Elephas maximus indicus: one gene and its partner. The protein of the gene in region 1 interacts with the protein of each later gene in a biochemical or structural test. Links are inferred from orthologs where the notes say so. Each region holds a gene or a part of one and is shown on either strand. Other genes may lie near its edges. The genes, in order: PLAU and SERPINA5.

Region 1 (3,913 bases):
AGGCCATGGTTCCACCCTTCAAGGCCGCAAAGGGTTGTGGCCCTACTGTTTGAGACTGCAGCAGCTCTCGTCCTGTGCTACTTGTCTCTTCAGCTTCTGCTTCCTGGTTCCTTGGCCTCTTGGCCCCTCGGGCCTCATGGGCTGGCCTCCTTGGGTAAGTGTTACAAAGCTCTTTATCTCCACCAAGAAGTGCCTAGAGGCACACCACTCCATCAGTTAACTTCAGCCAGGAGGCACTCAGCTCTCTTGCTTTGTGGGTCAGCAAGCCTAGCTCCACCGATAAGTGCCCAGAGGCACCACACTTCACAATGAAGCCTCTTGTCTGAAGGCAATCAGCTTTCTTGCTCCACGGGTTGGCTCCTGCATCATCTTACACTGGTCTCCTGGTTCTGCCACTCCTGTTTCTCTTCTGCTGCTTCTTGCCATCTGTGCCATCTCAGGTGTTACAGTTCTCCTTACTTCCTTCTGAGCCCTCGCCAGAATTGTCTTCGATGTCCATAATTCCACCAATAGTCTCTTCCAGGCAATCCAGGCTTTTACTATTAGCACTTTAAAACTCTTCCATCCTCTACCTATTACTGAATTCCAAAACCACTTCCACATTTTAGGTATCTGTTAGAGGAGCACCCCACTCCTGGTGCCAAATTCTGTCTTACTTATCTAGTACTGCTATAACAGAAATACCACAAATGGATGGCTTAACTAACAGAAGTTAATTCTCTCACAGTTTAGGATGCTAGAAGTCCAAATTCAGGGCATTAACACCCAGAGTCTGGAGGGCAGGGCCATTGCCTAAATGATCTCAGAGAAAAGAAGATTATTTTCAAGACTTGAAAGCTAACATAATGTGTTCTGCTGGGTTTTGGACTTGCTTGGTGCCTGTTATTCCTTCTTTCCCTCCAATGTCTCCCATTTATAAGGAAAATGTCTACATTGTGCCTGTTCCACCATTTTACTTTGAAAGCAGATAACTTGTATTCTAGATTTCACAGATGAAGAGGAATTTTGCAGAAGGTGGGATTTTGGACTTGGAGTTGATTTAAGACCTCTGGGATGATATGGTGGGGTGAGTGTGTTTTACATGTGGCAAAGGCATGAATTTCAGGGGGCCAAAGGGCAGAATGTTATGGATTGAATTGTGTCCCCCTAAAATATGTGTCGACTTGAGTAGGCCATGATTCCCAGTGTTGGGTGATTGTCTTCCATTTTGTGATCTGATATGATTATCCTATGTGTTGTAAATCCTAACCTCTATGATGTTAATGAGGCAGGATTAGAGGCAGTTAAGTCAATGAAGCAGGACTTGATCTACAGGATTAGGTTGTACCTTGAGTCAATCTCTTTTGAAATATAGAAAAGAAAATCAAGCAGAGAGGAGGAGGACCTCATTACTACCAACCAAGAAGAGCCAGGAGCGGAGCTTGTCCTTTGGGCTCAGGGTCCCTGCACTGAGAAGCAACTTGACCATGGAAGATTGATGACAAGAACCTATCCCCAGAGCCAACAGAGAGAAAAAAACCTTCCCCTGGAGCTGGTGCCCTAAATTTGGACTTCTAGCCTCCTAAGCTGTCAGAGTATAAACTAGCTTGTTAAAGTCATCCACTTGTTGTATTCCTGTTATAGCAGCACTAAGTAACTAAGACAGGAGGTCTGAGGTCACGGTTTCATGGGAAATCCCAGTTAATTGGCCTAATAACCTGCTCAGTGCTTCTGTTCTACCTCCTAGTTGGTTGCGTAGTGCCTGGGGTTTTAAAAGTTTGCAAGTTTCCATCCAAGGCACAACAATTGGTATTTATTCTCCTGGAACAACAGAGGAAGAAGGAGAGTAAGGAATAAGAGGAGGGTATAGAATGTCTGGCTAATTGCTCCATGAACCAGAGACCAGAAAATGTGGATGGCACCTGGCTACCATTACTGAGCATTTTGATCAAAGATTCTATAAAAGAATCCTGATCAATAGGAGAAAATGCAGAACAGAATTTTAAATTCTCATGGGCTCTCTCCTTTCCGGAGCCACAGAAGCTGGATAAACCCCTGGAACTATTACCCTGAGTTAATCTTTAAACTTTAAACCAAAAGTATCCCCTGAAATCTTCTTAAAACCAAATAGTTGAGCTTAACTTGTAAAAAAAACTCTGCCTTAAGCATTATGCTCTTTTAAGAACTATGTATATGGGGTCAAATTGACGATAGCAACTTAAAAAATTAAATAGGAGCCTTCAGGGCCAGTGAGTTTATGTTAATGGGGGAAGGGACTACTCAGAAAAAGAGGATGAGAATGATTGCACAACTCAAAGAATGTAACCAATGTCACTGAATTGCACGTGTAGAAACTGTTTAATTGGTGTGTTTTGCTGTGTATATTCTCAACAACAACAACAACAAAATAAATAAAAATTTTTATAAAGATTACAGGCAAGAATACCCCATGGAGAAGTTCTACTTTGTAACACATGGGGTCACCATGAGTCAGAGTCGACTCAAGGGCGACTAATGACAACAACAGCAATGATGAACGCGGCTGTTAGAACAGTAGTTCATACCCTTGGCTCCCTGCTACAAGCCTCCTTGTCCGAATGGGCCTTGACAGCCACCGCTCCCATCAGGGTAAGTCACACGCAGGCCTGTGGGAAGTCTCAGTGCAGAGCCACGCCCAGCAGCCAGGGAGGCACCCCATCAGCCCACACACCAAACTGGTTCTGCAGCCAGAGTGACAAGCCAGGACCTGCTAGCTTCAGGGTCTCAGAAGCAGACCCTTCTGGTACCCAGTCTGCAGCCTTCCCCAGGGCCATGACAGCAGCTACTGTTCCTCAGGATCTTAGCTCAGCTTACCTGGCCTCTGGTGAGGGTGGGTGTGAGGAGCTGGTGGGGGAGCAGTGAGCCGCCTCCGCGAGCACCTCTAGCCAAGCCAGCTTTCTAGGTAGTCATCCAATTTAGCTGCCCGAAGTACTGACAGGAGGCCCTGTCATCCAGTGCTGCATAAAGAAGACAGGCCAGCCCTAGAGGGCAGAGGGCTGCACCTGGCTGGGAAGCCCAGACAGGTCCGTGGCTGACAGGCAATACCTTACACCCTCAAGTCTCTAGTGGTACTTGCAGAGCCTGTGCTATTTTAGGTTTTTTTTTCATCCCTGCAGGCAAACTAGACTGGAGGAGTCTGATTAGAAGGGAAAGAACTGGTTTAACAGAGCTAGGGGTGGGGTTGGGGCATTGCTGCCCTGAATTGGTACCATAGCACCAGGCAGAGAGCCTGTGCCAATGTTTCTGAGGCTCAGGACTGGGTCAGGATTTCGGTACTGGCTTCTGAGTGACTTGTCAGACAAGACAGGCAAACAGAAGGACTTTGAGGTTTAGGGGCCAGCGGCTGTAATTCCTGTCTCAGGAATAATCATGACAATAATGATACCTTGTTACAAACGTGCTTTATAGTTTATAAGGTACCTTCACAGACATTATGTCATTTGATCCTTACTGTGGCCCTAGGGGGCGGGCAGAAGGAGAAGTAACTTTCTCAAGGTCAGAGACTTAAGAAATGACAATGGCAGGGTTTGGTCAATTGCAGAACAGGATTTGGGAGCCTATAACTGCACATCTAAAGGTCTATGCAGGAGGAAGGGGCTGAGAAAATGAGGGAGAACCCTGATCTTCTGATGGGCACTCCAGGAAATGTGGGGCTTCAGGGCCTGTTGGTGGTCTGGCACTGCAGGGCCACCGCAGGGGCTCCAGGCAGCCTCCTCTCTCCTCCTCTCCACCCACCACCCCCTGAGTCAGCTCTCTGGCATTGCCCTGGCATGTCCTGGGCCCCACGCCCAGGCAGTGAGAAGGCCCTGGCAGATTGCCTGGGGAATGCTGCTCTTTTAACTCAAGCCAAGCCCTAGTTAAGACCCCCTTCCCAGAGGCAGCCCAACAATGGCTG
Region 2 (3,913 bases), on another chromosome or scaffold:
GCTGGAAGCTATGTCGCCAGTATTTCAAATGCCAGCAGGGTCACCCGTGGTGGACAGGTTTCAGAGGAGCTTCCAGACTGAGACAGACTAGGAAGAAAAGCCTGGCAATTTAGCTCTGATAATTAGTCAATAAAAACCCTATGGGTCATTACAGAACATTGTTCAACTCACTTGCTTTGGACACCTCACTGGAGGAGGACATCATGTGTGGTGAAGTGGAGTCAGAAATGGCAAGGACGACCTTGGATGAGATGGATTGCCTCAGTGCCACAATAAAACATGCCCGTGATCGTGCTAATGATGAAGGACTGGGAAACATTTCATTCCGTTGTTCACAAGGTAGCTATGACTCTTAGTCCACTTGATGGCAGGTAACAATAGATGTCAGAGAACTGGGCACTAAGGCCCCGCTCTGCCCCTAAATTGATGTACGGCTTTGGGAAGTCCCTTCACCTTTCTGAGCCACAATTCAGTGATTCGTGCAACGTGGGGACCAGACACAGTGGCCCCTCAACTCAACCATCCTGAGGCTCTCCTAATCCCTTTAAGGTCCACCAGCATCTGGCTGTTGAGGACCACGAGACAAGTCAGCACAGAAGGCCTGTGGAGTCTGGGGCTCAAGTCTCCCCTTTCTTGGATCTGTAGCAGATGGGCTGCAGAAACAAACGTGTTGAGTCTAATGAAAAGCGGGGTGTGCTGACAGTGGCCTTTCCTGACTCTGCCTCGTCTCTCCAGGGTGCCCATGCATATACAGGCAAACTGAGGCCGGTGTGGGGCTTGAAGGACAGTGAGTGGGTGGCCCTCATGCAGCTTTGTCCACAGCCCGCCTGCTGGCTAGAAGCCTTGCAGGACAGAGCAGGGCGCCTGGGGCGGGGCCCGGGAGGGGTGGAGTCCTGGCCGCTAAGGTCGTAGGCAAGTTCTGGCTCCAGTCCAGCCAGCTCTCTGCCCTTTGCTAAGCCCGACGGACGCCACCTCCACTGTCTCCACGCTCGGCCACTGGACAGAGTAAGTACAGACTCTGGAGTGCAGACAGGGGCCTCCTGGGGCTTCCAGGACGTGGGAGCAGAGACAAGGAATGGGCTCTGATTAAGGGACCTGGAGGGTGCTAGAGCTGCAGAGGCATCCCTGACAGATAGAGGGAGAGCGGGAAGGGCCCTCATGGCAACGTGAACTGAGCCAGGGAGGAGAGTCTCCCCTAGCTGTGTGACCTTGGGCATGGCACTAATGTGGCCAAGCCTCAGTTTCCTCATCAGTAAGGTGGAAATAGTTAACCCTCTGCATACGCCTGGCCTGATATGAAGATTAAGTAAGGCAGTGGTTCTCAGCTAGGAGTGATTTTACCCACCCCCTCACCCCAGGCACATTTAACAATGTCTGCAACATTTTTGGTTGTCATAACTAGATGGGGGCGGAGGGGGGGCTACTGGCATCCAGTGGACAGAGGCCAAGAACGTCGCTAACATCCTACAATGCACATGGCAGCCTCCTCCATGACAGAGGGATCCAGCCCCAGGTGTGGACAGTGTGAGGTTGAGAAACCCTGAAATGAGGACGAGGAGGAGGGGACAAAATGCCGGGCTAGCAGGAGGTGCTCAGTAACCTTGGCTTGCATTGTTTTCTATGCCAAGGGTCTTGACCCATAAAATCAGGAAACATTCTAAAATGCAATCCACTTCCCTGAGATAAGGCCTCCCCTCAGGGTCACAGCAGCTGCCCGCCAACTCCAGACACCATTTGGCAGTTTGTTAAATAAACACAAGGTAGACAGAAATCAGCAGTTTTCAGTTTTTAACGGATGGGACCTTTGGCAAGAAATGCAACAATAAAAGGAGAAACTGCTCCCCTGAGTCAGGAAACAGGCTGAGCTAGGGGAGGGAGTAACTCAAGGTCAAGTTAACCCCGGGGCTGGTGGTGTGAGCAAGGGTCTGGATGCCCAGCCTGGCTCTAGGTCCACTAGTCAGCACCCAGCCTGCGGCCCGACACCGAATTACAAAGGATGGGCCAGGGGTGGTTCATTCCTTCACTCATTCATCCCACAAAGGTGCATGGAGCATCTCCCCGTGACTGGGGGCAGAGCAGATGGGGGGCTCCCTGCTGTGAGCACTTATTCTAGTGGAGAGAGAAGCAGAACAAAAGAAATTGAGCCCAGACGCATGCATAATTGATGGGAAAGGAGCCCTGGTGGCCCAACAGTTAAGTGCTCAGCTGCTAAATGAAAGATTTTGAACCCACCCAGCAGCTCCACAGGAGAAAAGACCTGGCAATCTGCTTCCATAAAGATTACAGCCTAGGAAACCCTATGGGGCAGTTCTACTCTGTCCTACAGGACCACTATGAGTCGGAATCGACTTGATGGCGCACAACAATTGATGGGGCTCTTGAGAGAAACAACCAAGGGGCCTGGGCCCAGCTTCCAGAGGGACCACGAAGAAGGGGCCTTGAAGCTGAGGCCTGATGCTCTGACGAGAAAGGTGGGGGAGGTGGGGGCAGGTTTCCAGGGGAGACAGTAGGACATGAAGGGCCCGGAGCGCTGGAGAGGGCATTGGGTTTGGGGAAATGAGAGAAGAAGTGGGCCTAGAGGAAGTGAAAGTGGGAGAATCCATCAGGGGGAGGCCAGAGAGCAGGGCAAAGGGGACCCTGAAGGGCCTTTGGGTTGGCACACAAACCAAACTCAGATTTCCCCCAAAGATCCAAGGGAGTGCTCTGACAACAAGGTTTCTGACTGAGGAAGCTGGTTTGTGGGGGCAGGAAGGAAGGCTTTGCAGGGTCCAGGCGAAGGACGAAGGGGCTTTCACTGAGATGGAGTGCCCCCAGTAGGTTTAAAACATATCTTGGAGATTGAAATCGACAAGACGTGCAGATGGATAGGAGGTAGAGGGGGAAGTTAAGAAAGCTTCTACGGTCACTTCTCCCGTGAAGCTCTGTCCCCCCCGTCTTTGAAATCCAGGGAAAGGTGCAATTTGGCCTCTCCCTGTTTGGATTTGACAGGTACGGAACAGACCCTCCTCAGCTGCATGCCTCCCACAGAGTCCTAAGTCAGCCTGTCTGGGGTTTGGTTGCCTAACATTAGGAGTATCAGCCAACGGGTTTGGGGTGCGTGGCTGTGTGGACTCAGCAGGAGGACTGACTCCCCACACCAGCCCCCACTTCCCCTGTCCCCGGCTCCTTCTTCCTCAGGCCCCTTGGCTTCAGACTGACTGATGGCTGGTTTGCTTTGACCAGCTCTCATCCCTCTGACACCTTGGGGCATTTCTGCAGAAACTGTATCTAACTTTGGGGACCTAAGATCGGGAGGTTCTGCAGGGACCCCGTGGGGGACAATGTCCTAGTCCCAGGCTCCCACCCCTGGCTCAGGAAGTGATGACTAAGAAACTAACAAGCTTGAAACAGGAGCCCCGGGGACCCCACTTCCTGGCTGAGCCCCATCTCTGCTCCCCGTTTCATCTTGGCACAGTTGTGATCACGGTACCAGCTTCCAGTTGCTGTGGACGAAAGTACACAAGCTAATGCAGGTGAACAGCTCTGGAGAGGCCTGGGGGGCAGGCACCAGGAGCGGGTGGGAGGAGGAATGAGGTGCCACCCCTCAGAGCCAAGAGGAGTGTGGGCACCAGAGACAGAGGGGTCTGGATTTTAATCTGGGGTGCATCACTCAATGGCTGGGACAAGCTGTTCTATTTCTCTGAGCCTCAGTGTATTCATCTGTAAATTGGGCTTAGTCACGCCTACTTTGCGTGCATATTGAATGGTCATAGATACAGAGTGTCTAGTAAGTACGCAATAATCAAACCAAACCAGCTGCTGCTGAGTTCATGCGCGCTCACGGTGACACCGTGTGTGTCAGAGCAGAACTGCATTCCAGAGGGTGTTGAAGGCTTTCAGAAGCAGATCAGCAGGGCTTTCTTCCAAGGGGCGT

What was found.
Region 2: the proteins of PLAU (region 1) and SERPINA5 form a complex in vitro, tested with the Homo sapiens proteins (2 studies listed by BioGRID). The link is inferred for Elephas maximus indicus from reciprocal best matches to the Homo sapiens genes PLAU and SERPINA5.

What each region holds. Positions count from the first base shown.
Region 1 is NC_064834.1:13,708,551-13,712,463, forward strand, and holds the start of PLAU (urokinase-type plasminogen activator), read right to left. Parts: upstream 2,852-3,913; 5' UTR 2,833-2,851; intron 1-2,832. UniProt on the Homo sapiens protein: Specifically cleaves the zymogen plasminogen to form the active enzyme plasmin.
Region 2 is NC_064828.1:108,117,837-108,121,749, forward strand, and holds the start of SERPINA5 (plasma serine protease inhibitor), read left to right. Parts: upstream 1-936; 5' UTR 937-1,005; intron 1,006-3,913. UniProt on the Homo sapiens protein: Heparin-dependent serine protease inhibitor acting in body fluids and secretions. Inactivates serine proteases by binding irreversibly to their serine activation site. Involved in the regulation of intravascular and extravascular proteolytic activities.